Linked DNA regions of Elephas maximus indicus. The protein of the gene in region 3 binds, or shares a complex with, the protein of the main gene of each other region. Links are inferred from orthologs where the notes say so. Each region holds a gene or a part of one and is shown on either strand. Other genes may lie near its edges.

Region 1 (7,662 bases), on a different chromosome or scaffold from region 3:
TGTTATAAGGATTGTTGTTGTTGTTAGGTGCCATCGAGTCGGTTCCGACTCATATCGACCCTATGCACAACAGAACGAAACACTGCCTGGTCCTGAGCCATCCTTACAATCGTTATGCTTGAGCTCATTATTGCAGCCACTGTGTCAATCCACCTCGTTGAGGGTCTTCCACTTTTCCGCTGACCCTGTACTCTACCAAGCATGATGTCCTTCTCCAGGGACTGATCCCTCCTGACAACATGTCCAAAGTATGTAAGATGCAGTCTCGCCATCCTTGCCTCTATGGAGCATTCTGGCTGTACTTCTTCTAAGATAGATTTGTTTGTCCTTTTGGCAGTTTTTTTAGTATATTCAATATTCTTCACCACCACCACAATTGAAAGGCGTCAATTCTTCTTCAGTCTTATTCATTGTCCAGCTTTCATATGTATATGATGCGATTGAAAATACCATGGATTGGGTCAGGCACACCCTAGTCTTCAAGGTGACGTCTTTACTCTTCGACACTTTAAAAAAAAGAGGTCCTTTGCAGCAGATTTACCCAATGCAATGTGTCTTTTGATTTCTTGACTGCTGCTTCCATGGCTGTTGATTGTGGATCCAAGTAAAAGGAAATCCTTGTTATAAGGATTAGATGGGATAATATACATAAGATGCATAGCTGAGTGTCTATACAGGCCCTTATGAAGGTGAGGAATCTGGCTGCAATATCTGTCACCTTGTGGGTCTCCCAGTAAATTCGATGGATATTGTTAGGCTGTGTTCTCCTTTTCTCTCCCAGTTCCACAGACATCCATCCCCAAGCTGGAAGATGTTTGGAAAGGACAGGTAGGGAAAAAATTGTTCTTTGCTCAACAGTGTATGAGGACAGGTGCTCAGTAAATTGTTGGGTTTTTCCTCTTTCCCAATTTTATCATTTTTAAATCTTCATGTTTTCCTTTTTTCTCTACCCATTTCTTTGCCATTCTTTCTCCCACAACCCCTGTGTAGCATGCATGCACGCACATAAATTTTAAGGCTTCTTATAACTCATTGATCAAGGCCAAGGCACTAATTCTTTACTCTAAAGTCCACTACTGGAGTCCCCAGGTGTTGCAAATGGTAAATGTGCTTGACTGGTGTCTTAATCATCTAGTGCTGCTATAAGAGGAATACCACCAGTGGATGGCTTTAACAAACAGAATTTTATTCTCTCACAGTCTAGTAGGCTAGAAGTTCAAATTCAGGGCATCAGCTCCAGGGGAAGGCCCTCTCTCTCTCCTTCCGCTCTGGGAGAAGGTCCCTGTTATCAATCTTCTCCGGGTCTAGGAGCTTCTCTGTGCAGGAACCTCAGGTTCAAAGGACCCACTCTACCCCTGGCACTGCTTTCTGGATGGTATGAGGTCCCACTCTCTCTCCCCTCGCTTCTCTCTTTTATCTCTTGTAAGACAAAAGGTGATTCAGGCCACACCCCCAGGAAACTCTGTTTACATTTGATCAGGGATGTGACCTGACTAAAGGTGTTACATCCCACCCTAATCCTCTTTAACATAACCCAATCTTCCCTCATTAACCACAGGCAGAGATTGGGGTTTACAACACTGGCAAATTATATCAATCAGGAAATGGAGGACAACCACACAATATTGGGAATCATGGCCTAACCAAGTTGACACATATTTTTGGGGGACATAATTCAATCCATAACAACTGGTAACCAAAAAGTTGGAGGTTCAAGTCCAGAGGTGCCTTGTAAGAAAGGCCTGGTGATCTACTTCTGGAAAATCAGCCATTGAAAACCCTGTTGAGCACAGTTCTACCCTGACACATGTGGGATCACCATGAGTTGGAGTCAACTCAATAGCAACTGGCAAAGTCCTTTATTAGGGTGCTCCAGGCTACTTTACTACCCTTCTTTCATGGTCTCCTATTTCGATTTATTCCTTCTACTTCATCAAAGCTTAAAGGAGCTTTCTTCATCTGCTTGAACTCTATATGTTTTTGGGCCCTTTCCCAAGTTGTGATTCGAGAATACAGCCTTCCCTTTTAACACACTGCCTGGTTCCTGTCTTTCCTATTAGTTTTTCTAAAGTGATCTCAGAGACCTGATGGCTCTTCCTGGTCCTATGCTGCAGTGATGGGATTTCTTCGATTTTGTGCGTGGGTCTGATGTGTGATTTAATATATTACTTGCCATTCATACAATATCTTACTTCAGTGACTATTCACTCAACCAAAGCCTTTTGAAATGTGACAATGTGTCAAACACCGTGCTAGACATTATAGATATGAATAAATATTTCTGCCTGGGAGGAGCTCATAGCCTAGAAAGCAGAGGCAGGCATGTAAACATGTATATTTTAGTGCAGTGTGTTATGGGTAGGAGCCCTGGTGGCTAGTGGTTAAGTGCTGGTTCAAACTCTGAGGCCGTTCTGTGGGAGAAAGATATGGCAGTATACTTCCGTAAAGATTGCAAACCAAAGGGGGGGAGGGAACTCATTGCTGTGGAATCCGTTCCAACTCATAGTGGCCTTGTAGGACAGAGTACAACTGCCGCATAGGGTTCCCAAGGCTGTAAACCTTTACAAAAGTGCACTGCCACATCTTTCTCACACAGCACCACCAGCGCTCCCCCTTAAAGGTTAGGAAACCATATGGGGCAGTTCGACTCTGTCCTGTAGGGTCACCATGAATCAGAATTGACCCAATGGGCAACATGATTTTTTGGTTTTGTCTTAAGTGCCAGTGAAGTAAGTTAAGTGTCTTTCTTGTGGTGAAAAACAGGTGAAATTGTGCTGTACAGATCAGAAAATAAGCACAAATAAGCCCGTGTGTAACTTGCTTATCGGATAATCCGCCCCTGAGTGTCACACACTGTGATGTGAAGGGAAATGAACTTCCTCTGGGGCGTCGGCAAAAGGTCTCGTAGGAACTGATGTTTCCATTAGTCTTGAAAGATAAATAGAAGTTTATTCGAGGACGGGCTTATGGGAAGACTAGGGGATCCGAGGATAGGAAATCAAGTGTGAAGAGGCTCTGAAATAATTTAGGAAGAGCCTCACGAATTCAGGGAGGTCTGATAGGCTCAGTGTGGTTGTGAAGCCGTCACTGAGGCTTCCCGATCCGCTGCAGTTCCTACCCCCACTTGCAGCCCACCAAGCCTCCTGTCCTAACCGCTGTTTGGCCCCAGTGCGCTGAGGGCACTACCTGAGGCTTGAATTTGGCACCAACACCCCGCGCATGCGCAAACCAAGATCTCGGTGCCCACGCAGGCTCTGAAGAGCCGAGGCCTGGAACTTGACCCCTGATCTGAACTTTGCCAGAGCGGATGTTCTCCAGTACACAGCTGCACCGCAGCCCACTTGTAAAGTGAAAGTTCCCTTCCTTTACAAATAATTCAGCACCTGGATCTCCAAAAATGGACATGGGAGGATGGGGTGTCGGATTTGGGGCACCAATCCCACCCCCTAGGGACTGAAGGGCATAAAAGCTCTAAGCTCCCTTGGGGCTGGTAGCGCGTGGTCTTTTGGCTGCTAGGCCCCGCGTTCCTTGTCTGCACAAACAATAAATTTCCACTTTCTGTTTCCCTTACAACTGGCGGTGTGGCGTCTGTCATATTTCCATCTGCTAACAGGACGGGACAAGAACCCTCACTGGGTTACAGTGGGAAGTGTGGTAGAGTCAGGAGCAGGAGTGCAAAGGAATCAAACGGAGAGGACTCATGAAGCAAGGGGATTGAATTTTATTCTAGGGCCAAGTAGAGAAAAGAAATTTGTTTAAGCAGGGGAGTTCAACAATCAGGTTTGTCTCTTACGTGTTTGTATTGTCACTGACCTAATTAAGTCCAGATTTTGGAATCTAAAGACTGTGCTTACTCAATTATAGGTCCCCAGGGACAGCCTCTGAGTTGAGACACCGCTTTCTTTTCAGGTCTAGAAATGGCATGTTTTCAGATTACCTGGGGCAAATTAATCCAATCCCCATGCCCATTTGTGCTAGTTCACTTCCCGGGAAACTGATATTTGAAGAACTCCAATTTTTACTCTAGTTCTGTCCTTCAAAATGTTGTCTCTCTCTCCTTGGCCAGGGTTGGGCATATACTGACAGCTTCTGTCTCTTTAAATCCCATTGGTTATTCTGTTTTGATGCCCTCTTTCCTCAGTTAGGGAAACATTGGTGGTGTAGTAGTTAAGAACTATGTCTCTAACCAAAAAGTTGGCAGTTCAAAACCACGAGGCGCTCCTTGGAAACTCTACGGGGTAGTTCTACTCTATCCTATAGGGTCCTCATGAGTTGTAATAAACTCAATGGCAATGGGTTTTGTTTTGTTCCTTAGTTATAGGAGCCCTGGTGGTGCAGTGGTTAAAGCGATTGGCTACTAACCAAAAGATCAGGGTTGGAACCCAGTACCCCTGTAAGCTTACAGCCTTGGAAGCCCTATGGGGCCGATCTACTTTGTCCTACAGGGTCATTTTGAACTGAAATTGGCTGGAAGATAATAGGTTGCGATTTGAGTTTCTTTAGTTACGTTGACCTAGTCTTTAAAGGTACTGATGACGTTTTGGCCCGTCCCACCGTACGTTTTAATCAATCAGATAGGGCTTCTCCGGTAGCCACACCCACCCAAGCGCGGGCCGACTGGAAAGTTTGTCCCCAGCAACGCGCCGTACTGACGGTGGCAGTGCGCAGGCGCAGTTCCCGGCCCCCAGCGGCGTGTTCCTTTTTCCTCAGGTTTCCAGCTTCCTGGTAGCTGAGAAACCCTAGCTCCTCAGAGGCCACCTTCCTCCGCGGCTCGCCGGTTGCCCCGGACACTCCTCCGGCAGAAGTCCCCCAGCTGTCGCGGCCGCTGCCCCGGCTGCACGCCTCCACCGGCGACAGACTCATGGCTGAGCGCGGCGAACTCGATCTGACCGGCGCCAAACAGAACACGGGAGTGTGGCTGGTCAAGGTAATGTTCGCGGGACTCCCGCCTGTGCGCCCCCTGATAGAAATAGTTTAAGTGACTTACGATCGTCCCGCTCCGTACGGCTTTTAAAGTTCTTTTATGGCCATCTCATTAGAGCTTCACATACTTGGGGAAGTGTGGTCGTTGTTTTGCCCGTTTGCAGATGAGAAAATTAGTTTAGGGAAGCTGAGTGTCTTTCAGCCAATTGAGAGTCCAAGTATGCCTGGAATGGATCTGTTCCCCACGACCTGGCTTGCCCTGGTGCCCCGTCTGGTGTCCCCGATTTGAGCGGTGCATTTTATCCCACATCGAAGAATTCCTGAATCTTGTTGAAACGGATTTTAGTCTTGAGAGCACGCGGAAGAATCTACTTTCTCGGCCAGAAAGTAGAACGGAAGGTTGCTTACCCTTAAAATTGTTCTTTTAGGATGATGACCTTTAATAGGGCTCTCAGAAGAGTTCTGAACTAATGGGAGAAGAGGTCACTCGACCTTTCTTTTAGAGCACGATTGGGTCTCTTGAGACTGACCGTCAATAAATGTTTTATGTAAAGACTAGTATTGCGTCCTTTTCGTTTGCAGTCTGGGTTAGCCGTTAGCACAGTGTTTGTATTGACTTTTTTTATACTGAGAAGTGTTGTTTTTTGGGGGAGTTTCATAAGACATATGCATGTTCAAACTGTGATCATGACAGTCTTTGAACCTCGCATAAAATGTAGAGATCTTTGGTTTGTTAATGCTTTAGTTTACTGTCTTATCACACGGCCAAGTCCTCATCAGTTAAATATCAGAGAGGTTCTTCCTGTCCACCCCTCTAAAATAGCTCCTTTATGGTGATTTGGTAGCACGTCAAACTTTTGTTATATTCTTCAAAGTGTTTGTCAGAGTCTAAAGTGATTCCGTATTCATGCGTTCAGTGATGGTTACTCCCTGCCCCTCAACACCCACATACACACAATCACATTCCATTAGAACAGGACCCACAATAGTGTTTGGCACATTGGTAATTGCTCAGCAGATATTTGATGAATGAATGCATGATTTCATCCTTCAACCTTATCCTTAGTCTGTGGCACTCATTCGACTTATCTCACAGCCACATCAGCATGACTTAAAACGATCAAGTAAATGGGTGTCTCACTCCCAACTGGAAGAGATTGATTAAGGAGATAATCTGCTTTGTAGGCTAAAGAAAAGAGCTTGAAAAAGTGGTGAGAATGGAGATTATGGTTTTATGCTTGGAGCGCAGTAGATGCACAATAAATGTTGTTTGCCTTACAGGATTTGAATGGGTGGATCGAGCTATAGCATAGTATTCCATAGACCAAAAAATCTGTTGCCAGTGAGTTGATTCTGACTCATAGCGATCCTATAGGAGTGGAACAGAAATACAAGACTGGAAATGCATGTTAACATGATGCGTTCTGGAAAACAAAGAGGAGACTATTATGCCTAGAGCAGAGAGTTTGTGTAAAAAAAGCTTGGGACCATATACCCAAATTGTCATATCGTGAAACGGAGATGTTTTAGCTTTAAGTCAGTTGTTGTTGAGTGGATTCTCTCTTGATTTTAGTCTATAGAAAATGGAGGGTTTTGAGTAAGGCAGGGATGCATAAGATTCTTTTAAAAAGAAAATAAACTTGGCAGTATGCAGTATGCATTAGAGGGTAAGGGTGACCAGAGTCAGAATTCAGAAAGTTACCGCAGTAGCATAGGTATGTATGAGATGATGAAGTCTGAAGAGTTAGGAAAATGTTTTCAGTAAAAAATTGTCAGGATTTGCTGACTATCTTAGGGTACTTTAGAGAAACAGAACCAGACATATACATGTGTAGAGATAGAGAGAGATTGATTTATTTCAAGGAATTGGCTCACGTGATTGTGGGGGCTGCAAGATCAGTTGGTTAGGCAACTGGCTGTAGACTCCTGCACTCCCCAAATCTGCGTGTAGGTCAGGCGTTAAGAAGAGTGAAGAGTAGGAGTGTTCATATCTATTACGGTATGGAAGAGGAGTAGAACTCATCCTAGGGAAGCTTCCCTTTGCTTTTAAGGTCTTTACCTGATTGATTGAGGCCTGCCCACATTATAGAAGGTAATCTGCTTTACTTGAGGCCACCATATGTAATTTATAACAGCAACTAGTCTAGTGTTTTAGCAAACAGCTGGGCACCATAGCCTAGCCAAGTTGACCCATAAAGTTAACCATCAGTCTGACTAAATGAGAATGTGAAAGAACGTAATGAATCTGAAATTGAAGAAGTTAAAAGAATTTTGGTATTCTCCCCATATATGCACATTTGAATACATTTTATCTCTTTTAAAAAAAAAAAATCTTAAGCCGATGATTTGTTCTTGTTATTTCTTGCTTGCAAAATCATTGCTTCCTAGCATCAACTTGGTATGCAGTATTTCTTTTTTTATGTGTCAAGGAAATGAATGGACTTGTAAATACGTCTTTCCTGGGTATGAAAGGAATATGCTGGATATTTTCTCTTTCTTGCCAGTTCTTGTCCTCTGACAACCTTATTTCTGAAAGAGGAAGAGAATTGCTAGCAAATATTTTCTGTTGTAAAATCTGTCTATATCCCGCCTTTATTTGACAACTTTTATTTCTGTTCTAGTAAAAGGCGTCCCAATAGGCAATGGGGTTTGATTTGCACACCTAGCAGATAATATGAACTTGTTTCATTTGCACTGGGGTAAGTATTGAGGGTGATTTTCATGCCCATATCTAGAGAA
Region 2 (7,986 bases), on a different chromosome or scaffold from region 3:
TTCCTGTCTACCCTCTTACCAACAAGACAAGGAAGGCATCACAAAGACCCATTTGCTTCCTTCACTTGTTTTTCTCCTGGTTGCGTGGGATTTGGAACACATGACTTAAGATGGCTTCACAATGACTAAATCAGGTACGTTTCCTAATATTTTAATAAATAACTCATCTAGCCCAATGGTTCTCAACCCTGGAATGCATTAGAATCTCCTGGGGGGAGTTTTAAAAATACTGATTTCCAGGCCTTCCCCTAGTCCAGACCCATTGTATTAGATTTTCTAAGGGTGGGGCCAAAGCATGAATATTTTAAAACCAAAAACCAGGGTAATGAAACACATTCAGATGATCCTGATGCACAGTAAGGCTGGAGAACCACGGTGCCTATACTTAACCTATCTTCTTTCCCATTGCACCATCACAGCCAAATACAATCTAAGTTCTTCAATGTGTTTTTGAGCTTGTTTTACTCTGTTTTGACAGGGTAGGCTCCTTAGGGGAAAGGACTCATCTTTCAAATATCTTTGGTCCTTCCTTAGCATAGTACCATGAAATATTAGTTTCTCAGTGGATAGTTTACATAGAACAAAAGTAGAAGACCCCAAAAGGTACAGGTGAAAACATAATAAGTGGATATTCCTGGAGTGAGATCATGGGTGATATTAACATTCTTCTTTCTCCTAGCTACATTTTCTAAATGTTCTATCATGACGATGTATTACTTCTGTTCAAAAAGCAAAACTATTAAAAAAAAAAAAATTAAAATTTGCTAGAATACCCCAGAATCTCTACAGGAGACAAAGAGCAATCTTTCATTTTATGTAATAAGTGTATCCCTGAAAAGTGCACAAATCAAATATTCTTATTAAAAAATCACAAGTCTGTAGATACTCTCTGCTTGAGCTTCTATTGGGCATTTGCTCCTAATACTTCAGCTTTAAATTTCTCTCTACTTTTCCAATATTCCCCGTTTGTTCAAACTCCTGATCCCCAGTCGATTAATGATCAATAGACCAATATTTAAGTTTCCGAACTTAAAGCCTCTTTACAGACATACATTTCCTCATTCTTTCAACAAATATTTATTGAGTAGCTGCTCCTTACCAACACTAAAGAAAGGCACTGTCCTCACTCGAAAAGAGCTTACGATCTGGTCAGACATATACAGGACAGGATATACGTTCCTGGCACAGGCAATAAGTATTACAGGAACACAGTGTAGAGAAAACTTCCACTGTGTGGGGATCAGGAAAGGCTTTGTAAATCAAGATAACCTGAACTGGATCTTAGAATAGCAACAAGTGACTAGTGGCTAAGTGGTAAACAACATTAAAAGAAAACAGGCACTCCTGGAAACTTGAAGTGGGTTGGAGCCTTGCATATTGTCTAATCTAAACTTGCATACTGAAATTGTATTCATCCTTTATTTCCCAGTTTAACCCTCATCTCCTCCAAGCAGATTCTCCCCATAACTTTTGATTCTTGGAGTTTTCAAGCTTTCCTGCACTTGTAGCCTCTTACAATACGAAACACCTGATAATGCCTGATTTTTTTTTTAGGCAACCCAAATGAAGGCATTTTTTAAATTGTGAAGAGCTACAAAATGTTACTGTTATTTTCTAATTCTTTCACTAGTGATCTTTAAAAAACTTGTAAATCTGATCGTGCCACACCCTGCTTAAAGCCCTTCAAGGACATTCCATTTCTCTTTGAATAAAGACATAAGTCCTCTAAATGACCTACATATCATGCAAGGTCTGGTCCGTGCTTATCCCTCTTGTTTCTTAAGTGAAAAACCCTCTCCACCTCTGGGCTTCCATATTTGCTGTGTCTCCTGGAAATCTCATCCTCCACTCCCAATTTGTCTTAGCTTCTGTGTTGTTGTTGGTTGGGTGCTTGCGAGTCAATTCGGACTACAGGACAGAGCAAAACTGCCTCATAGGGTTTCCAAGGCTGTAAATCTTTACGGAAGCAGGCTGCCAGATCTCTCTGAAGGAGAATGAATGGCTGGTGGGTTCCAACCGCTGAACTCTCAGTTAGCAGCCAGGCGCTTAACCACTGCGCCTTCCACTCATCCCAAATCTGTTTTTACTCTCATAGAACCGTGGTCCTTTATTTTAAAGAACTCATCTCGGTTTGTACGTACGCACCGTTGGTTTAATTATTTGACTATCTCCCCTATTAGAAAATAAATTCCGTGAGATTGGGGACCTTGCCATCCACATGCCTGGGAATACCAGGTCCTCAACTGACACTTGGTGAAAGAATGAATAAATGTGATAGGTTGTCTCCTCCAATTACACTGCAGGTTCGGGGGATAGGCGCCGCTTTGGCTCTGCTGGTATGAAAAAGCATTTTATTAACACGGGCATAGTAAGAGACTCTCAGCAAACAACTCTGAACTGCCTAAAAGGGTCTCGAACTTAGACACGAATTCTTAACGTCACCTCCCAAAGATCTCGCGCTGGACTGCGCTGGAGACGGCTGGAGAAAGGGGTCGGCAGGGCGCAGATGAACTAGCCCGCCGAAGAGAACTCAGGGTTCCAACGAAAGCGTTTTAAGTCGGACAGATTCCTTAGTCTGCGCTCAGCTTCGCTAGTCTCACGCAGCTCGAGCTGCGTTGTGGGCGGATGCCAAGCAGACTTCGGGCAAAGAATACAGAGCCCAGGATCGGCAATCGTCCCCCTAAGGACATTCCCAGATCCTGGAATCGGGCAGTCTCGACCCGGCACCCACCTCCCGAAGCAGCTTCAGCTCCCCATGCTGGATCTCATACAGCTGAATGACGCCGGTGCCCCGTGCGAAGTTGCCCACGGTCACAAATTTGGCGCTGCATGGCACCCATTTACAGTCAAACACAGTGTAGTTGAGGCTCTTCTGGATATGGGCGATGATCTGAGGCTTCTCAAAGGCCGACATGGCCCAAGAAATGCCACCTCCAGCAACCGCCAGCCCCGAACCCCGCGCAAACACTAACCTGGAAACCAGACCCCAAACATTAGCGACAGTTTGTCTCTCCCGCTTGCCGTACCCGGGCCTCGCTAGTTGGATTTAGTTATCTAAGATAATGCCAGATACACTACAGAGAGCGCGCAAATTTTCCTTTAGGGACAACACAAATATGTTTATCACTTTTATGACTGACTCTTTTACATATACAGTTTTGAGATTACAAAATGCTTTATCTGTGACTTGCGCAGCCAGAGGGAGGTCATAAGAATCAGGCATATTGTAAGATGGCCCCCACCGACATTAAAAAAGCCTGGCTGAGGACCCCGCGTGGGACCTCTTGGGAAGGGGGCGGAGCCCTGGGGCAGGTGGTGCTCGCAGGGTGGTCGGGGTGCGCCTGCGACGTGCGGCTGCGCACGTGGTGGAGGCGGAAGCGCCTGCCGGGCCGGAGATCCCTGGGGATGGAAGGCGGGATGGAGGCACAGAGCGCCGGGGCCGAGGACGGTTTCACCCAGGTCACCCGCAGGGGTGGCCGGCGGGCGAAGAAGCGGCAGGCTCAGCAGCTGTCGGGGGGGAGCGGAGACGCGGTCCGCATGGACACGGAGGAGGCCCGGCCGGCGAAGAGGCCCGTCTTTCCGCCCCTCTCCGGGGATGGGCTCCTGGTACTGGCCGGGATCCTGGACAGGAGTGGGGCAGGGGCCAGAGACGGGTTAAACCTCTGGGTGATAGTGAAGCTGCGGTGCTCTTCTGGAGAAGTGACTCTCCGGAGGCTTAACTCGTTCAGTTTAAAGGAAGATTTTTTGTGGATCAGCTGTCATTTTACAACTCCATCCCCACCCTTCCAGACATCTCCTAAGTTGTGTTCTTTTCTGTTGTAGGGTGGGAAAGAAGAAACAAGGAAAATTCCAGTCCCAGCTAACAGGTACACACCATTGAAAGAGAACTGGATGAAGATATTTACTCCTGTTGTAGAACATTTGGGACTTCAGATACGCTTTAACTTGAAATCCAGGAATGTAGAAATCAGGGTAAGGAGCGAGCCAACTATTTCCACATATACTAGGATTTCTCCTACAGGGATCGAGGACTGAATAGACTTTGCTGAATGGGACTTGTTAAGTGGTTTCTTCCAGTTTTCTAATATATATCGAGTTTGAACTTCTTAAATGCCTTTAAAATCTTGATTCAATACAAATACTAATTGAATTCTAAATGAGGATACTGGCTGTGTCTGTGCATATCTTTTATAATGTATCGCATTGAACTGCGAAGACCGAAGAAAGGCATTGTCCTAAGGCAGAAGTATGTGAGTGACATACATAGGCATATGCAGGGTTTTAGTTACTGGCTGCAGCAGTACAGGCACCATGCATCTTAATAGTATTGCAAAAAAAAAAAATATGTGTATACGTAATAGCTATATACTTTAAAGTATAAAAATAAATGTGAAAATCAGTTATGTACGTGTGTATACCAAACCAAAACGAAACCCATCGCCATCGAGCCAATTCCAACTCATAGGGACCCTATAGACCAGGGTACAGCTGCCCCATAGGGTTTCCAAGGACTGGCTGGTGGGTTTGAACTGCTGACCTTTTGGTTAGCAGCCAAACACTTAACCACTGCACCACCAGAGCTCATGTATATATAAAACCCACTGCCATCGAGTCGATTCCGAGTCATAGCAACCCTGTAGGACAGAGTAGAACTGCCCCATAGAGTTTCCAAGGAGCGCCTGGTACATTTGAACTGCCGACCTCTTGATTAGCAGCCGTAGCACTTAACCACTGTGCCACCAGGGTTTCCTATGTGTGTGTGTATATATACACGTATACATACATGCATATACATATACGTATACGCACATGTATGTTAAGAAGTAGGCTGCCAACCAAAAGATCGGCAGTTCGGATCCACCAGCTGCTCCTTGGAAACCTATGGGGCAGTCCTACTCTGTCCTGTAGGGTCCCTGTGAGTTGAAATCGACTCGACAGCAAGAGATTTGGTTTTGGTTTATATGTATATATGTAAATATATGTATGTATATGTGTATGTATGTATGTAGCTGTGTGCCGTCAAATCCATTTCCACCTGTAGCAACCCTGTGTGACAGAGTAGAAGTGACCTATAGGGTTTCCTAGGCTGTAATCTTAATGGGAGCAGATCCCCAGGTCTTTCTCCTACAGAGTGGCTGGTGGATGTCAGTCACTGAGCAGGGCTCCTTTAATCCAGTAGTTAGACATTTTAAATCAATTAATTTTGAGCTTTTTTCTGGTGGCAATTTTACATGATAATCTATGGCCAAAGTTAATTGTAATATCCTCCTTGAGAATTCTTATACCATCATTATGACAGGTGTAGACTTGTCTCTGATGCACTGTGTATGATAAGGGGACAAAGCAGAGATGCCCTGCTCTAAATAGTTGGTAAAGTTCATAATATTGAACTTGACAGTAGAATCCTTGTTTGTTCCTGTTGCCACTCTAATTCAGGTTTTGATGGTTTCATGTCAAGACATGTCATGTTTCACTATAGGTTTCCTTTGTTTTGCTACTTTAAGTCTCTCCTTCCTCATATACATTCTCTGTGCCAACTTTCTCTGACCATGTTGCTTTTATTATGACTTCCTGACTTAAGCTTTTAACTAAACCTGCTTTTTAGTTAATGGGTCCCAACTCTGGTCCCAAGTTGGTTTCTCATCATCTCTTTGAACATTTCTATTCCGTACTTCTGGGTAGCCTTTCCCTCTGAAGAAGGCCTTCTCCTCCCTACTCTCTCCCTCTTCCTACTTCAGTTCCTGTCATGTTCCTGGGTCTCCCTGAAGTTCTTCCTCCGTTGTAATTGGTTGGTTTGTCAGTCATTTCTTCAACGCCTGACTTTTGTTATGCTTAGCTGTCTTAGGAATTGCTGCAGCATAGATTTAGATCTCATTAACATTTGTTGAAGAGGGCAGTGGTAGTTCAGTAGTAGATTTCTTGTCATCCATGGGAAACCTGGGTTCAATTCCTGGCCAATGCACTTTAGGTGCAGCCACAACCTGTGTGTTATTGGAGGCTTGTGTGTTGCTGTGGTGCTGCACAGGTTTCAGCAGAGCTTCCAGACATCAGCCAGTGAAAACCCTGTGGGTCACAGTGGTCCCATCCCATTGTGCATGGGGTCATCATGAGTCAGGGGCCAAATCTTTGACAGCAAACAGCAGCATTGTTGACACTTGTATACCAGACCCATAGTGGTACTTGGACGTGCACTTCATCATTTGGTCTTTAACACGGCCCTGTGAAGTAGATGATATCCTTCCATCTTACAGATATGAGGAAACCAGTGATCAAAGAACTTGTGTGTCTTGGCCAAAGTCGTAAAGCTAATAATTGAATCTTGATGCTATTAGGGATTCCTCAGGATCTTCCACTCTAACCTCCTTATTTTACAGCTGAGAAAACTTAAGACCTAGAGTATCTATGTGACTTACCCAAGGACACATAGGAGTGGAACTAGGGTTTAGTTTTTGGGGGCTTTTTTTTTTTTTTTAATGGTTTTATTGTGGTACAATACATGTAATGGAGACATGGCAATTTTAATTATTTTTAAACGTGCAATGCAGAGAATCGTGAGATTATATCACCGGGTTGTATAACCATCACCACTACCTGTTCCCAACAGGTTTTCATCATCCCAAGTAGGAACTCAGTAGGCCTTAAGCAAACGCTCCCTTTTCCCCACCCCCAGCTCATGGTTACCTCTAATACTTTGGTCTCTACACACTTGCCTGTTCAGGATATTTCATAGAAGTGGGATCATATATTTGTCTTTTTGAGGAGCCCAGGTGCTGTAGTGGTTAAGTGCTATGTCTGCTAACCAAAGGGTCAGCAGTTTAAATCCACCAGGCACTCCTTGGAAACTTTATGGGGCAATTCTTCTCTGTCCTGTCGGGCCACTCTGAGTCAAAATCGACTTGATGGCAAAGGGTTTTGGTGGCGCAGTGGTTAAGAGCTTGGCTGCTAACCAAAAGGTTGGCGGTTGGAATCCACCAGCTGCTCCTTGGAAACACCATGGGCAGTTCTCCTCTGTCCTATAGTGTCCATATGAGTCAGAATCAACTCGATGGCAACTAGAAATGAGTGGCTGACTTAATTCATTCGGCATAATATTTTCAAGGTTCATCCGTGTCAGAGCATGTATCAGAATTTCATTTCTCTTTATGGCTGAATAATATTCCGTTATTTTTATGCATCACGTTTTGTTTATGCATTTCTCTGTTGATGGACGAATTGAACTATTCCACCTTTTTGCTATTGGGCATGATGCCGCAGTGGACTTTGGTGTACAAATATATTTGAGTCCCTGCTTTCAAGTCTTTAGGGTATTTAACCTAGGTGTGGAATTGGTAGGTCATATGGTAATTCTATGTTGAACTTCTTAAGGAACCACCAAATTGTTTGCCAAAGCAGCTGCGCCATTTTACATTCTCAGCGGCAGTAGATGAGGATTCCAGTTTCTCCACATACTTGCCTACACTTGTTATTTTCCTTTTTTTTTTTTTTGATAATAGCCATCCTCTTGGGTGTGATCACCACTCTTCTGTCAGTTTTCGTACTGTGGTAGCTTACATGGTGCTGTGATACTGAAAGCTCTGCTACTGGTATTTCAAATACTACCACAGTCACCCATGGTGGAAAGGTTTCAGCAGAGCTTCCAGACTAAGAAAGTCTAGGAAGAAGGACGTGGTGATTTCCTTCTAAAAACTGGCCAGCGAAAACCTTATGAATAGCAGCAGAACATTGTCTGATATAGTGCCAGAAGATTGGCCCCTCATTTTGGGAGACACTCAGAATACAACTGGGGAAGATCTTTCTCAGAGTAGGGTCAACTTTAATGACATGGATAGAGTCAAGCTTTCAGGACTTTTATTTGCATGACTCAAAATGAGAAGAAACAGTTGTAAGCATCCGTTAATAACCAGAATGTGGGATGTACGAAGTATGAATCTAGGAAAATTGGAATTTATCAAAAATGAAATAGCATGTATAAACATCGATAGCCTA
Region 3 (7,963 bases):
AGATTGGCTCAGGGATGTGACCTGGTAAGGGTGTTCCGATCCCACCCTAAACCTCTTTAACATAAAATTAAAATCACAAAATGGAGGACAACCACAGAGTACTGGGAATCATGGCCTAACCAAGTTGATACACACATTTCTGGGGGACATAATTCAATCCGTGACAAGCACTGTGGGGGTTCTGCCTTACTGGGGCTGCCATGACAAAGTACCGCCAACCAGGCGACTTAAAACAACAGCGCTTGATTCTCACACAGCTCTGGAGACCAGAAGTCCAAAATCCAGGGCTAAGCTCCCTCTGAAAGCTCTAGCGGAGGAGCCTTCCTCGTCTCTTCCAGCTTCTGGCAATTGCCGGCAACCCTTGGCATTCCTTGACTTCCGCGGGGCCATCTTCCCTCTGAGTCTGTCTGTCTGTGTCTTTTCTCATAAGGACACCAGTCACTGGGTTAGGCTCCACCATACTCAAGTATGGCCTCATCTGAACTTGATCATATCTACAAAGACCCTGTGTCCAAACAAGGTCACGGTCGCAGGTACTGGGGGTGGTTACAATTTGACATATCTTTTGGGGGGATACAATTCAACCCCCGCACCATCCATGTCACCCAGCTCCCAGCTAAGACCACCCCTCACTTGCACCCAAGCCCTCTGGCTCACCCAGGGCTCCAGCAGTCCTCACCCCTCCCTGTGGATTTCTCCCTCCAGAGTGGAGTCCCTGGGTGGTGCAGTTAATGCACTCAGCCACTAACAGAAAGTTTGGGGGTTCGAGTCTACCCAGAGGTGCCTTGGAAGAAAGACATCTGAAAAATCAACCACTGAAAACCTGTGGAGCACAGTTGTTCTCTGACACACATGGGGTCACCATGACTCAGGGGCAACTCCACAGAAGCTTCTTTTTTTTTTTTTAACTGGGTCATCACCCCAGCACATAAAACTCTATTTCCCCCATCTTCACTCCTCCTGCTGCAGCATCACTCCCTGCTGTCCCCCTTTGTAGCCGTGTTTCCCCTTCCTGTCCTGGCAGAGTCCTATCCAGCCAGCCCCAGGGTCTGCTTTGGTCAGGGTCACAGGGCCACTCAGCCAAGCCCCACTTGCTCCATCTCAGGCCTCCAAGGGCTTGGCAGCTCAACAGCTGTCTTAGTCATCTATTGCTGCTATAACAGAAATACCACAAGTGAATGGCTTTAACAAAGAGAAATTTATTCTCTGACAGTCTAGGAGGCTAGAAGTCTGAATTCAGGGTGTCAACTCCAGGGGAAGTCTTTCTCTTTCTGTCGGCTCTGGAGAAAGGTCTTTGAGATCAGTCTTCCCTTGGCCTGGGAGCTTCTCAGCGCAGCAGCCCCCAGGGGCTCTCCTTGCTTGGTGGTGTGAGATCTCTCTGTGGCTCTGCTCTTCCCTCTTTTATATCTCAAAAGAGATTGACTCAGAATACGACCTTACCTTGTAGATTGGGTCCTGCCTCATTAACATAACAGCCTCTAATCCTGCCTCATTAACATCACAGACTTTAGGATTTACAACACATAGGATAATCACATCAGATCACAAAACCGTGGACAACCACACAACACTGAGAATCCTGGCCTATCCAAATTGACACACATTTTGGGGCCAGGGACATATGAAGGTCTCTCCCTCCTCCTGGAGACACCACCTTCCCCTGGCTCCAGGGCACCTGGCAACCTCCTCCCTTGTTTGCTTGTCTCCTTTATTTTATTTAATGAGCACTTAGGTAACTCAGGAGCCCTGGTGGCACAGTGGTTAAGAGCTCAGCTGCTAACCAAAAGGTTGGCAGTTCGAATCCACCAACTAGTCCTTGGAAACCTTATGGGACAGTTCTACTCTGTTCTATAGATTCGACTTGACGGTTGTGGATTCGGTTTTGGGTTGCTAACTCAGGTGATGCAGGTCTAAGCAGTCTGCAATTATCGGCCATTACCGCCCAATGAAAGCAGCCCTGTTGGTGCAAGCGTTAAGCGCTCGGCCGATAACTGAAAGATCAGCGGTTCGAACCCACCCAGGGACTCACTGGAGAAAGACCTGATGATCTACTTCCGTAAAGATTACAGCCTAACCTCTAGAGTACAGCCCCCCGGACACCCTTGTAACTCAGTACTGAAGCCACTCCCGAAATTCACCCTTCAGCCAAAGAGTAGACAGGTCTATAAAATAAACAATAATAACACACGCGAGGACCGTGCTTTGTAGTTTAATAATGTATACAAGACTAAAGGGTCCGCACAAGCCCAAAAGCGAAGGCAGGAAGGGACAGGAAAAGTAGACAAATGGAAACGGGGAACCTGGGGTGGAGAAGGGGGCAGTGTTGACACATTGAGGGGTTGGCAACCAATGTCACAAGACAATGTGTATTTATTGTTTAATGAGAAGCCTATTTGCTCTGTAAACTTTTACCTAAAGTACAAAAAAAAAAAAGCCTAGAAAACCTCACGTGGTGGCTATGAGTCAGAATCTACTGACAGCGCCTAACAACAACAGTTACCCGATGAAGTGGGTACTGTACCATGGGCCGAGGAGGGGTGCTGAGGCACAGGGAGGTGAAGCCACGGGCCTGAGAGCACACAGTCAAGTCGCAGTCCCAGAGGCTCCCGTGACTCTCATCCCTGACCCCTCCTTCTGTTCCATTCTCACACCCAGTGACCCTGCTCAGGCCACAGGGTCCTCCCCCTCAGCATTGCTGCCTTCCCTGGGGTGGGGGCCGTCCTGGGCACTGCAGCGTGTTGAGCAACATCCCTGGCCTCCACCCACTTGGTACCAGTAGCACCCCATTCAGTTGCGACAACAAATGTTCCCTGAGGTTGCCAAGTGTCCCCTGGGGGCAGAAACGCCCAGGATGAGAACCTCGACTCTGAACTCCCCTGCTCCCCGGTGCACACTCCGAGCCAGCCACACTCACCTCCTGGATGCCAACACACGAGGCCAGTCCTGCCTCAGGGGCTTTGCACGGGCTTTTAACCTCTGCCCGGTACACCCTCCCCCAGACACCTGCGTGGCTCCCTCCCTCTTCTCCTTCGAGTTTTTGCTTAAATCTCTCCTCCCTGCCTTCCCTGACCTCTGCCTTCAATGCTGCAAGCTTTCTCATCCGCCATCTCCTTTACCCTGGTCTGCTTTTTTCATAGCAGTATCAGCTTCAGACATATTTTATCATTCACATGTTATGTTCAGTGCTTGTGATCCTGTGTCCCCTGGAACATCAGGGACTCCTGGTCTGTTTTATTCACTATCTCTGTGTTTCTTGGGTCCCTGGGTGGTGCAGTCTGCACTTGGCTCCTAATCTAAAGGTTGGCAGTTTGCACCCACTCAGTGATACTGCAGAAGAAAGGCCTGGCCACCTGCTTCAGTAAAAGCTGAACCAAACCATTGCTGCTGAGTCGATTCCGACTCATAGCGACGCTATAGGACAGAGTAGAACTGCTCCATACGGAGACCTGGTGGTGCAGTGCTTAAAGAGTTTGGCTGCTAATCAGAAAGTTGCTAGTTTGAATCCATCTGCCACTCCTTGGAAACCCTGTGGTTGGACACGACAGCAGTATTTTTTTAATAGGATTTCCAAGGCCGTGATCTTTACGGAAGCAGACTGCCACATCTTTTTCCTGCACAGCTGCTGGTGAGTTCCGAATGACCTTTCTGTTAGCAGCTGGGTGCTTAACTACTGAGCCGCCGGGGCTCCTTTGGTAAAGGCCAAGAAAGCCCTGTTGAACAGTTCTCCTCTGTAACATGTGTGCTGCCAGGTGGAGACCCCAGGTTCTGCTTGGTGTGACTTGCTGCAGCCAATAAACAAGAGGCCAAGGTGGGAGATGAGAAAGATGCCTTTATTTCATTGCTCAAGGATAGGAGCCATGGGGGCTGCTGCCTCCAAGACTGCTCCCAGGCAGCTTGGGGAGGTGGGCTTTTATACAAAGCAGACAAGGAAATGCAAATTTATTATGAATATTCAGGATTGACCTTCACACAGGCGTTCAGAGTTTGGGGATGACTATGCATTTTCTCTAGACAGGGTTCCATTCTCCGGAATGGAGGAAGAGGTTGATTTTCTTCTACTAGGATGTTAAGTCTCCCCCCAGAGGCGGATTGAAGCCATCTATGGCCCGTTCTGTGGTTATCTTGTCAAGGACAGTTTCAGAATTTGCAGCTTATTCTGCTCGCTGTAGGACGATAAGCCAGAGCAGGTGTTTGTCTCTTAGATGGGTTGGGCTCTGAGGTTGTCTGCCTCACATGGGGCCACCTAGCCGGACCCAATTCTACACCAACAGGTTTCGGTGCTGTTTAGCGACTGAATGGAATGAATCGCTGAATAAGTTACTGATCACCTTCAGTGTGGCAGGCGCGGGGCTGGGCGAGCCTCCTTGATGAGCTCGGGGGCTTGATGTGGAGGTCTGTCAAGACCCACTAGGTCTGGGGGCCATGGGGCACCCAGGCGGAGGCCGGACCGAGAGCCAGGGGAGAGGGCCAGGTTGAAGCGGAGGTGGGAGGCTTTGCCAGGCTCTTCCCAAACACGACCATCTTTTTAGATCCTCACTTAACCCTCTAAAACAGGGGCATTTATTATTTCCATTATAAAGACGTGGAAACTGAGTCTCGGGCGGAGCCCTGGAGCCACCATGCGGAGAGGACCCCAGACACTTGGACGCACACATATTTGTGGAGCACTTTCTAGACTACCCGACTGTGCCCGAGAGCCTGGCAGGCCCCCGAGCCCGTCCGGGCCTCCGTTTCCCTATCTGTACCCGGCCTCTCCCTCGCGAGATTCTAAACAGCCGCCCGACAGCTGGGCGTTGAGCGGAAACTACAACTCCCGAGAGGCCTTGCGGCTCAAGCATCGCGAGAACTGCAGGCGGTGGTGGGCGGTGATATTTGCAAGTCTCTGTTAGGGAGCAGCCAAACACCGCTTTCGGAAGGTTCGGGCTGCCCTCGGACCTGCCGGTTCCAGAGGTCGGTGCTTTCAGGCGTTCGCTGAGGCCAGCCCTGCACGGAGTGGACTAGGGGTGGCTTAGCGCAGGCGCAGTGCGCGCGGGTCCTGACTGGCGCAGGCGCAGCGCGTCGACTCCGAGAAGCGAAGCAGCCATGGACGACGAGGAGGAGACGTACCGGCTGTGGAAGATCCGCAAGACCATCATGCAGGTGAGGAGCGCGGGGCGGGGGGATGCCCCTGTTTAGAGAATGGGGTCACGGCGGGCCTACCTGCGCCAGGTGAGCCGAGCGCGCAACGGTCTGGTGGTTCCTGGAGGTGGGAAGGAGCGTGGCGTCTCCCCCTCCCTCATCCCCTGTGGCTGGATCGGGGGGTCCCCAAGGCCACCCCAGACCCTCGTTGCTGGGTCTGCCCCAGGGGCGCTGCCTTATGTGCCCTGAGCTCAGCGGCGGGACACCTGCTTTGGGGCGGGCAGGGCGAGGGTCACAGTACGCCGAGGTTGGGGTCTTCCAGAGGACTGAGGGACCCCACAGACCAGCGGCCGAGGGGAGAAGCTGAGAGGTCCCGGGGGGGGGGTCGGGTGTGGGCGGGAGTTGGGGTTGGGGAGTGTGAAGGGCTAGAGAAGGAGGTGACAAGTGGCGACAAAGAACGGGGGCATTCTTGGAGGGCCCCTGCTCCGCCCCAGTCACGAGCTGCACTTTTTGTTGCTTTATCCTGAACCTGAGGGTCAGGGCGGGTTGTGATTGGGAAGCGGCGGCAGAGCTGGGGTTTGAGCTCGGGGGTGTTGAGTCCAGAGCCGGTGCCGTGAGGTCCGGAGCAGATGAAGACAGAGCTGGGAGGGGACGTCCTGGGCAGACCGTCCCTGAAGGCCAGTAATTGTGGATCTCACCCCAGAAATCAGGGCTATTTGAGCAGATGGTTCTAGAAAAGGACCTAGATGGAGAAAGGGAAGGTCAGGGCTGTGAGCTAGTCCTGATCTCCTCCCCGGTCCCTCTGTGAAGTTCCCCGGCAGCTTCATTCTCTCTCCTGAGTGCCTGCCCACACTAGGGTCTCAGCCTGAAGTCGCAGCTATTCTGGCCTCCGTCTTCAGGGTGGCTTTGCAAAGGGGTTGAGAGGCTGGGCTCATCTGCTCAGGTGTAGGCCTGGCAGGACTCCCAGGGGCCAGGTGGTCTTGGTCTAGATCCTTGCCTCCTGGGCCACAGTTGGAGGTTGCCAACAAGGCGCAAATCACAGACAGGCACTGGAACCACGCTTTACTCACACAGATGAGACAGCAGAGTCAGCTTCAGTTGTGGTCTCCAGTCTCCCATGGCCAGTGAGTCCCCTCATAGCCAGTACAGAGCACATGTCCGACACGCACTCCTCTTGTGCTGCAACTGAGAGACCCCGTTTCCTGTTCTCCAAGAACAGTTGGGTTGGCCAGGTGCTATAAGGAAATTCTGGTGGCGTGCGTAGTGGTTAAATGCTACCTTGGCAGTTCAAATCAACCAGGCACTCCTTGGAAACTCTATGAGGCAGTTCTACTCTGTCCTAGAGGGTCACTATGTGTCAGAATCAACTTGACAGCAATGGGTTTGGTTTTTTGTTTGTTTGTTTGCATGAACAGCAACAGAGAAAGTTAGAGTGTGCCCAGAACTGGGAGGGAGGCTCCCCTGATGAGGAAGAGAAACTGGGAGGGAGGGAGAGAGAGACCCAGTTACAGTCTCCGTATCAGGGAATGCTCTGGGCCCATGGCCTCTGCTTAAGCAGCCCAGGAAGCAGGCATGAAATCAGCCTGTCTCCCCACAGGGGCTCACACTGGTCCCAGCCCATGGGGTGGCCATGGGATTAGAGGGTGACCGTGTTCATCCACTTCGCTATGACTTCTCTGTCCTGTCTCCCTGACTGGCCTAAGGCTGGTGGCTGAGGTGTGCCCACCCTGTGTCCTCCACAGCCAGCATTTGAATCGCTGCGACCATGCCTGACACCAGGGTGTGTGCACTCAGGCATGCTGTGGCTCTCCTCACCCTGAGGTCCTGGGCCCTTCTCTCTGCAGTTGTGTCACGACCGTGGTTACCTGGTGACGCAGGACGAGCTGGACCAGACACTAGAGGAGTTCAAAGCCCAGTTTGGAGACAAACCGAGTGAAGGGCGGCCACGGCGCACGGACCTCACCGTGCTGGTGGCCCACAATGATGACCCCACTGACCAGATGTTCGTCTTCTTCCCAGGTGAGGGCCCTGGTGGGTGTACACAGCTTCCCATCCCTGAGGTTCCTGAGGGATCCCCAAAGGACCACGTTTCTGGTGGGGTTGTTGGAGCACCTACTTAGGTGCAGCTTCTAGCATCTGCCTGTGTGTGGCCCTCCAACCCGGACTGGGGAGAGAGCTCCCTGCCTCTCCACGCTGTGCTGTTGACCTCTGACCCCTCTGACAGTCTCTTCACGTACCCACCACCTGCTCCAGTTTCCCTCTGATCAGTCGCTTCTGTCTCCCTTGACTGTGTCCTTGTTGTGTCCTCCCAGCAGGACTCTCCCAGAGGCATCCCGCCTAGGCCCTTGCTCCCTCCTGTCTGTTCCCTCCTGACGGCTCTTTCCTGTCCTGCTGCCCACCTCCTGGGATGGCGTTCCAGCCTCCTGGCCTAGCAGCCAGGCTCCCTCCACATGAGCTCAGCTCCCTGCTTCCGCTCTTCCTGCACCTCTGAGTGCCCCCCCCTTTCCCAGCAGAACTCAGCTCCCCTCCTCCTGTGTGCCCACCACACCAGCTGTCTGCATCCTAGTTCTGGGGTGACAGTATACGGGGACCCTCAGCAGCACTGTGGGTCTCAGGCTTCTGCCCTCAGTCTAGCCGAGCAGTGGAGGCCAGTGTCAGAGACATTGAGTCTGACCTTTGGGAGGCACCCTGGCTCTGCCCTGGACAGCCACCTGGTGCCAGAGAGAGAAGGAGCTCTGCCTTCCAGAGCATCGAAGGCGCCTTTGGTCCCAGAAGCCTCTGCGATGAGCCAGGAAGGACAAGAATTCACCCCACACCTTCCCCAGGCCCTGTTTCTAGTCACCGA
Region 4 (7,896 bases), on a different chromosome or scaffold from region 3:
AGAATCTCTTCCCTTGCCTTCTCCAGCATCTAGAAGCTGCCTGAATTCATTGCTTCCTTTCTCCCTTTCATCTTCCAAGCCAGCAACTGCAACCCTCCAACCTCTGCTTCCGTTGTCACATCTCCTCCTCTGATTCTCTTGCCTCACTCTTTTCCTTATAAATAAGGATCCTTGTGATTACATTGGGCTCATCCAGTTAACCTAGAATAATCTTCTCATCTCAAAATCCTTAGATCCTGTGATGGCTAAAGTTGTCTGTCAACTTGGCTGGGCCTTGATCCTCAGTGGTTTGGCAGTTATGATGTAGCTTGGCAGCTTTTTAATGATGTAATCACCTCCATAATGAGATTTGACGTAATATGATCACCTCCATGATGAGATCTGTTGTGCGCAGCCAATCAGTTGAAAGGGATTTTTCTTGGGGGTGTGGCCTGTATCCAATATAGGAGGACTTTCGGGCAAGGCTCACTGGTTTTTGCAAACTATGGATCATGCAGCTGGTTCCTGTTTGTCTGACCTTTGGTTCTTGGGACTTGAGCTAGCAGTTTACCTGCTGTCTTACCTGCCAGTCTTGGGATTTGTCAGCCTCCACAGCCTGTGAGCCAGAGGCCTCCTATCTGATCTTCTGATCTTGGATTTGCCAGCCCCCTGTGACTACGTGAGTCAGGAGAAGCCTCCGTCTTAACCCATGAACTTGAGACTTTCTACCCTGTACAGCCACATGAACAATTTCCATTATATAAATCTCTCTATATATTTATATGCTGCATTGGTTTTGCTTCTCTAGAGAGCCTAGCCTAAGACAACTCCATCACTGATGGGAATGTAAAACGGTGCAGCTCCTGTGAAAAACAGTTTGGCTGTTGTTCTTGTTAGGTGCTGCCGAGTCAGTTCCAACCCATAGCGACCCCATGCACAACAGAACGAAACACTGCCCGGTCCTGCACCATCTTTACAATCATTATGCTTGGGTCCATTGTTGCAGCCACTGTGTCAATCCACCTCGTTGAGGGTCTTCCTCTTTTCCACTGACCTTGTACTTTGCCAAGCATGATGTCCTTCTCCAGGGATTGATCCCTCCTGACAACATGTCCAAAGTGTGTAAGATGCAGTCTCGCCATCCTTGCTTCTAAGGAGCATTCTGGTTGTACTTCTTCCAAGACAGATTTGTTCATTCTTTTGGGAGTCCATGGTATATTCAATATTCCTCACCAACACCACAATTCAAAGGCATCAATTCTTCTTCGGTCTTCCTTATTCATTGTCCAGCTTTCACACGCATACGATGTGATTGAAAATACCATGGCTTGGGTCAGGTGCACCTTAATCTTCAAGGTGACATCTTTGCTCTTCAACACTTTTGAGAGGTCCTTTGCAGCAGATTTGCCCAATGCAATGCATCTTTCGATTTCTCAACTGCTGCTTCCATGGCAGTTGATTGTGGATCCAAGTAAAACGAAATCCTTGACAACTTCAATCTTTTCTCTGCTTATCATGATGTTGCTCATTGGTCCAGTTGGGAGGCTTTTTGTTTTCTTTATGTTGAGGTGTAATCCATACTGAAGTCTGTGGTCTTTGATCTTCATTAGTAAGTGCTTCAAGTACTCTTCACTTTCAGCAAGCAAGGTTGTGTCATCTGCATAACGCAGGTTGTTAATGAGTCTTCCTCCAATCCTGATGCCCCATTCTTCATATGGTCCAGCTTCTCGTATTATTTGCTCAGCATACAGATTGAATAGGTATGGTGAAAGAATACAACCCTGACATACACTTTTCCTAACTTTAGACCAGTCAGTATCCCCTTGTTCTGTCTGAACAACTGCCTCTTGATCTGTGTAAAGGTTCCTCATGAGCACAATTAAGTGTTCTGGAATTTCCATTCTTCGCATTCTTTGGCAGTTCCTTAAAAAACTGAACATAGAACTACCGTATGACCTGGTAATCTCAATCCTAGCTATATTCCAGAAGAAGCAAAGGCAGGAACACACAGAAACCTGTACATCAATGTTCATTGCAGCACTTTTCACAATAGCCAAAAGGTGGAAACAACCAAAATATCCATCAATACATGAATGGAGAAACAAAATGTGGTACATACACACAGTGGAATACCACCCAGCCGTGAATAGAAATGAAGTCCTGATGCACGCCACAACATGGATGAACCTTGAAAACATGCTGAGTGAAATTAGTCAATCATGAAAGGGCAAATATTTGTATGATCTCACTTATATGAGCTCTCTAGAATAGGCAACTATAGAGACCAAAGTTTATTAGTGGTTCCGAGGGACAGGAGAGAGGGGGAAAGAGGGAGTCATTGCTTAGGGAGCATTGAGTTTCTGTGATGGTGATGGAAAATTTGACAATGGATACTGGTGATGGCTGCACAACACAATTAATGTAACTGGCGTCACTAAACTGTACACAGATAAAACATTGAACTGGCAAATGTTGTGTTACATGTATTTTTTACAATTAAGAAAAAAAAAAGTCCCTGCTTTTGTAGAGCTGACATTCCAGTCAGGGAAGGAAATAGACAAAAAAAAAAAAAAAGCAAAATAGCTGTTATATCAGATGGTGATCACTGTTACGGAAAGAAACTAAAGCAGGAGGGGTTACCATAAACTTGGTGGTGTAAAACATCACACATTTATCCTCTTACCTTTCTGGAGGCCAGAAGTCCAAAATCAATCTCACTGGGCCGAGATCAAGATGGCAATAGAGCTGAGCTACTTCCAGGGTCTCTAGGGGAGAATCTGTTTCCTTGCCCTTTCTAGCCTCCAGGATTTCATTCCTTACATTCCTTGGCTTGTGATGCCTTCTTCCATCTTCAGAGCCGTCTGGGTAGCATCTTGCTTCAGTGGTCACATTGCCTTCTGTCTCTTTCCTGCTGGGGAATCTCTTAGAAGAGCTCTTGTGATTATGTTGAGGGCCCCCCTGGATAATCCAGGATCATCTCCCCATCTTAACATTCTGAACTTCATCACATCTGCAAAGTCCTTTTTCTATTTTTGAGAACATGTAGTTTATTGGGATGAGACATTGGTGATGCAGTGGTAGAATTCTCACCTTCCATGCAGGAAACCCGATTCGATTCAATGCCCTGCCAATGTACCTCATGTGCAGCCACCACAGTGGAGGCTGTCACTGAGGCTTGTATGGTGCTATGATGCTAAGCAGGTTTCAGCAGAACTTCCAGACTAAGATGGGCTACGAAGAAAGGCCTGGCAATCTACTTCCAAATATCAGCCAATGACTCCTTTGCCCTGAGACCAGAAGAACTGAATGCTACCCAGTTATCATTAGTGAACATTTTGATCAAAGATTCTGTAGAAGAATTCTGATCAAAAGAGGGGAAATGCAGGACAGAATTTCAAATTGTCATGGAATCCGGACTTCCTGGATCCATGGAGGCTGGATGAAGCCCTGAAACTATTGCCTTGAGATAAACTTTAAACCTTAAAACAAAAATAACCTGTCACCTTCTTCAAGACAGACAATAGGTTAACTAGTAAAGAATGTCTGCTCTGAGCATTGTGCACTTTTAATATCTATCTATATGGGATCAAATTGACAACAGCAACTTGGAAGATTAGATGCAGAAACTTAGGAGGCAATGAGCTTGTGTTACTGGGGGAGAAATAATTCAGAAAAGGAGCTTGAGAATGGCTGCACAACTTGGAGAATGTTATCAATGTCACTGAATTGTACCTGTAGAAATTGTTGAATTTGTATATGCTCTGCTGTGTATATTCTCAACAACAACAACAAAAATAGAATAAATTCTATGGATATAAAAATCAGTCAGTGAAAACCTTGTGAATCACAACAGTTTCATCTACCACTGATTATGGGGGTGATGCAGGACCAGGCAGCGTTTAGTTCCTTCGTGGACGGGGTTGCCAATGTTGGGGGCCAACTCAACGGCAGCTAATAACAACAGTTTATTTGGAAGGTGACTGCTTTTAGAGGGAGTGGAAAAGTGAGACCAGAAGAAAGCTTCTGAAAAGGTATTTTAGACAACTGGGGCTCAGTCCCACTGGGGAGTGCTAAGAGAAAGTGTAGACCTTCACAACTCACAGTGTAGTCTGAAGACCAGATCACTGACACCTCCTGGGAGTGGATAAGAAATGCGGAATCTCAGGCCCACTCCCGCCTCAACAATCCGAATCGGCATTTTAACGAGGTCTCCCGGTAATTCATAACCCCATAACCCGTTGCCATCGAGTAAGTCCCGCTTCATAGTAACCCTAATGGACATAGCAGAACTGTCCCATAGGGTTTCCAAGGCTGCGATCTTTAAGATTGCCACATCTTCCTCCTGCGGAGTGGCTGGTGGGTTGCAACCATTAACAGCTGAGCGTTTAAACACTACATCACCAGGGGTCCTCTAAAGGCTTGTACCAAACCACAAAAAAACCCACCAAACCCACTGCCATCAAGTTGATTCCAACTCATAGCGACAGTATCTGGCAAATAGTAGGTGCTCAATAAATGGATAGTTATTTATTCCACAGGAGTCTAGGACACAGCAGGAACTTTATAAATGTATGCTCGTCTGATGCAGTTAAGCCATTCCTAACATGTGGGCCACCAAGGAGTCTCCAATTTCCCTGTTATTTTCTTCTAGTCTCTATTCTCTGCTGTGACACTTTGGCAGATGCTGGAAAACGAATGTTTTGGGTGAGATCGATTCTCTCGGCTCTCCTCCTTCCATGTTTTGTTCTTTGTCCTCGGTGATCCTCAGCGACGCCTTGGGCACCGCCTATCTCTCCGGAGCCCGCCTGCTCAGGCCTTGCGCATGCGCGCAGTATTCCCACTGGCTCCGCCCCAGTAGCGTCACGGGCGGGATCAGCCAGTGGGATCGTGAGGAAGGTGGGGCGGACGTCCCACGGACCCGGTCTCTCGCTGAATATTCATGAGGGAGGCGGATCGACGCCGCTGCACGCCTTGGCCGGCGCCATGAAGTGAGAGTGGGGCCGGGGACCGCGGCTGGAGAACGGCCGCAGGGGGCTGAAAGATGGGGGGGAGCGTGTGGGGTCCCCAGCAGGGCGAGGGGTGGCTGAAGAGATGGGATGGGGTAACCGCGGGGCCGGCGGGGTGGTAACGGGGATGGTCAGCGGGGAGACCCGGAGGCTCCTTGGGAACTGGCGGGATACCCGGGGGGACCGGCAGGTAACTGCCCTTGGCTCGACGGCCGGAGAGCGCGGGGGCTTGGAGGGGGCCTGAGGGGGAGGACACTGACCCAGCAGCCCCCACCAATAGGCTCAACGTGGACGGCCTGCTGGTCTATTTCCCCTACGACTACATCTACCCGGAGCAGTTCTCCTACATGCTGGAGCTCAAACGCACTCTGGATGCCAAAGTGAGTAGGCCGGGCGGCCGCTGCCTGCTTAACAGGTGGGGCCGTCACGCGTGGGTCTGCGACTGAGGTTGGAGGACGTCTAGATAGCCAAGACCCCAGGATTTTAGAAACCTGAGGTCCTTGGGAATCTAGGACTCCAAAGCCACCTGCCATCTGAAATAATAATAGTTAATAATACCCGTTGCCGTTGATTTCGACTCATAGGGACCCTATAGGACAGAGTAGAACTGCTCCGTGGGGTTTTCAAGAAGCTGGTGGTGGATTATAACTGTCAACCTTTTGGTTAGCAGCCGAGCTCTTAACCACTGTGCCACCAGGACTTCCAGTTAATAATAGTAGCTAAAAAAAAAAAAAAAAAAGTTTTTTTTTTTTTTTAATATTTATTAGGTCAAGCATAGCAACGATTCTGAGAATGGCATAGGATCAGGTAGTTTTCGTTCTGTTGTACATAGGGTCGCTATGAGTCAGAACTCCATAGCACTTAGCAGCAACATTTATTAAAGGCCAGACATCCCGGTGCGTAGAGATCCATAGACACTGGAGCTGGCTCCCTGGATTGAAACCCCGGATTCACAGTCTACCAGCTGTGTGACCTTGGGCAAGTTATTAACCTCCCTGTTCTGGTGCCCCTGTAAAAGGGACATAGTAATAGTACAGTACTTGAAGTCCCTGGGTGGTGCAAATAGGTGACTTGCTCAGCTGTCTAACTGAAAAATTGGAGGTTCAAGTGCACCCAGAGGCACCCTGGGAGAAAGGCCTGGTGACCTACTTCCAAAAAGTCAGCCATTGAAAACCCTGTGAAGCACAGTGCTACCGGGATACACACAGGGTCGGCATGAGTCAGAGTCTACTTGAGGACAACTGCTTTTAATAATGCCTACCTCATAGGTTGTCGTGAGGGTGAAATGGATTAATACAGTAAGGCAGGGGTGGATTTTGACCCCCGGAGAACAATTGGCAATGTCTAGAGATATTCTTCCTCGCCATACTAGTTGTGGGGTGGGGCGCTATTGTTTCTAGTGGGTAGAAGCCAGGGACGCTGCCAAACATTCCACAGTGCAAGGACAGCTGCCCCACAGCTAAGTATTATCCGGCCCCAGATGTCAGTAGAGCAGGATATGAGGCATCTACAGCAGTGCCAGGCACCAAGGAAGTGCTGTGGAAGTGTTTGCTAAGCTGCAGGAAAAAATGGGCTCACTATATATCAGATACCATGGTAAATCATTAGCTTACAATTTGTCGTTAATCTTCACAATCATGATATGAGGAAGACCTTTATGGACCCATTTTAGAGATGAGGATACTGAGGTCCAGAGAGGTGAAGGCACTTGCCTGAAACCACTCAGTAAAGAGGTGGCAGAAGTAGGATTCAACCCCTCTCCCCTCCCGGGTCCAAACTATTAACTACTGTGCTGATGGCAGTCTTCTTGGAGGGAGGGGGGCAGCATCCCTAGAGATTGTGCCCCCAAGGTTCTGAGAGCCTGTATCTTGTCCCTCCTACCCCCAACGCATAGGGTCATGGAGTCCTGGAGATGCCCTCGGGCACTGGGAAGACAGTGTCTCTGTTGGCTCTGATCATGGCGTACCAGCGGGTAAGTGACCCACTGGGCCCATGGAGAGGGTATCGGGTAGAGGCTGGGTGGGGGCTGAGCCTGCTTGTCATTGGCAGGCATATCCGCTGGAGGTGACCAAACTCATCTACTGCTCGAGGACTGTGCCCGAGATTGAGAAGGTGAGCCGGGGTGTCTTAGTTTCCTCGTGCTGCCATAACAGAAATACCACAATTGGGCGGCTTTAAAGAACAGCTATTTATTTTCTCACAGTTCTGGAGGCGAAAAGCCCAGGTCAGGGTCTTGGCCATGTCGATTCCTTCTGCGAAGGTCTCTTACAGTTCTGGTGTATGCTAGCGATTCTTGATGTTCCTTTACTTGTAGGTGATTCTCACACGTCATCTATCTTCCCCTGTGTGTGTGTGAGTTGCTGTGTCTATTCTGGTCTTTTTATAACTCAGGGGTGATTAGGTTTAGGCTCTATCTTGCACTGATATGACCTCAATTGATTGATTAATTACATTAGATTAGATAAGATTATGGAAGTTCATTTCATTAAATTAGGAATCCCTGGGTTGTGCAAATGATTAACACGCTTGGCTGCTAACCAAAAGGTTAGAGGTTCAAGTCCGCCCAGAGGCGCCTCAGAAGAAAGGCCTGGTGACCTGCATCTGAAAAATCAGCCATTGAAAACCTTGTGGAGCAGAGTTGCACTCGGATACACATGGGGGTGCCATGAGTCAGAATCAGCTGGACAGCAACTGATGCTGACCTTAATTACATTACATATATTTTTAACGCGTTAAAAGGCAAAGATGGCACTTTAAGGAGTAAAGTGCACCTGACCCAAGCCATGGTATTTTCAGTTGCCTCATATGCATGCGAAAACTGGGCAATGAATAAAGAAGACCAAAGAAGAATTGATGCGTTTGAATTATGGTGTTGGCGAAGAATGTCGGCCATACCACGGACCGCCAGAAG

The links.
Region 1: POLR2E (region 3) and GTF2F2 share a complex: the UniProt entries of both Homo sapiens proteins name them as parts of the TBP-based Pol II pre-initiation complex. The link is inferred for Elephas maximus indicus from reciprocal best matches to the Homo sapiens genes POLR2E and GTF2F2.
Region 2: POLR2E (region 3) and DNAAF10 share a complex: the UniProt entries of both Homo sapiens proteins name them as parts of the PAQosome complex. The link is inferred for Elephas maximus indicus from reciprocal best matches to the Homo sapiens genes POLR2E and DNAAF10.
Region 4: POLR2E (region 3) and ERCC2 share a complex: the UniProt entries of both Homo sapiens proteins name them as parts of the TBP-based Pol II pre-initiation complex. The link is inferred for Elephas maximus indicus from reciprocal best matches to the Homo sapiens genes POLR2E and ERCC2.

What each region holds. Positions count from the first base shown.
Region 1 is NC_064832.1:35,134,189-35,141,850, reverse strand, and holds the start of GTF2F2 (general transcription factor IIF subunit 2), read left to right. Parts: upstream 1-4,658; 5' UTR 4,659-4,861; coding exon 4,862-4,927; intron 4,928-7,662. UniProt on the Homo sapiens protein: TFIIF is a general transcription initiation factor that binds to RNA polymerase II and helps to recruit it to the initiation complex in collaboration with TFIIB.
Region 2 is NC_064835.1:68,212,730-68,220,715, reverse strand, and holds the start of DNAAF10 (dynein axonemal assembly factor 10), read right to left. Parts: upstream 3,005-7,986; 5' UTR 2,915-3,004; coding exon 2,732-2,914; intron 1-2,731. Other genes in the region: RNA-binding protein PNO1, read left to right, coding at 3,406-3,606, 3,823-3,972. UniProt on the Homo sapiens protein: Key assembly factor specifically required for the stability of axonemal dynein heavy chains in cytoplasm.
Region 3 is NC_064821.1:806,768-814,730, reverse strand, and holds the start of POLR2E (DNA-directed RNA polymerases I, II, and III subunit RPABC1), read left to right. Parts: upstream 1-4,961; 5' UTR 4,962-5,082; coding exon 5,083-5,139; intron 5,140-6,962; coding exon 6,963-7,137; intron 7,138-7,963. UniProt on the Homo sapiens protein: DNA-dependent RNA polymerase catalyzes the transcription of DNA into RNA using the four ribonucleoside triphosphates as substrates.
Region 4 is NC_064829.1:104,341,733-104,349,628, forward strand, and holds the start of ERCC2 (general transcription and DNA repair factor IIH helicase subunit XPD), read left to right. Parts: upstream 1-4,883; 5' UTR 4,884-4,962; coding exon 4,963-4,967; intron 4,968-5,113; exon of another isoform or gene 5,114-5,175; intron 5,176-5,265; coding exon 5,266-5,365; intron 5,366-6,879; coding exon 6,880-6,957; intron 6,958-7,034; coding exon 7,035-7,097; intron 7,098-7,896. UniProt on the Homo sapiens protein: ATP-dependent 5'-3' DNA helicase. Component of the general transcription and DNA repair factor IIH (TFIIH) core complex, not absolutely essential for minimal transcription in vitro.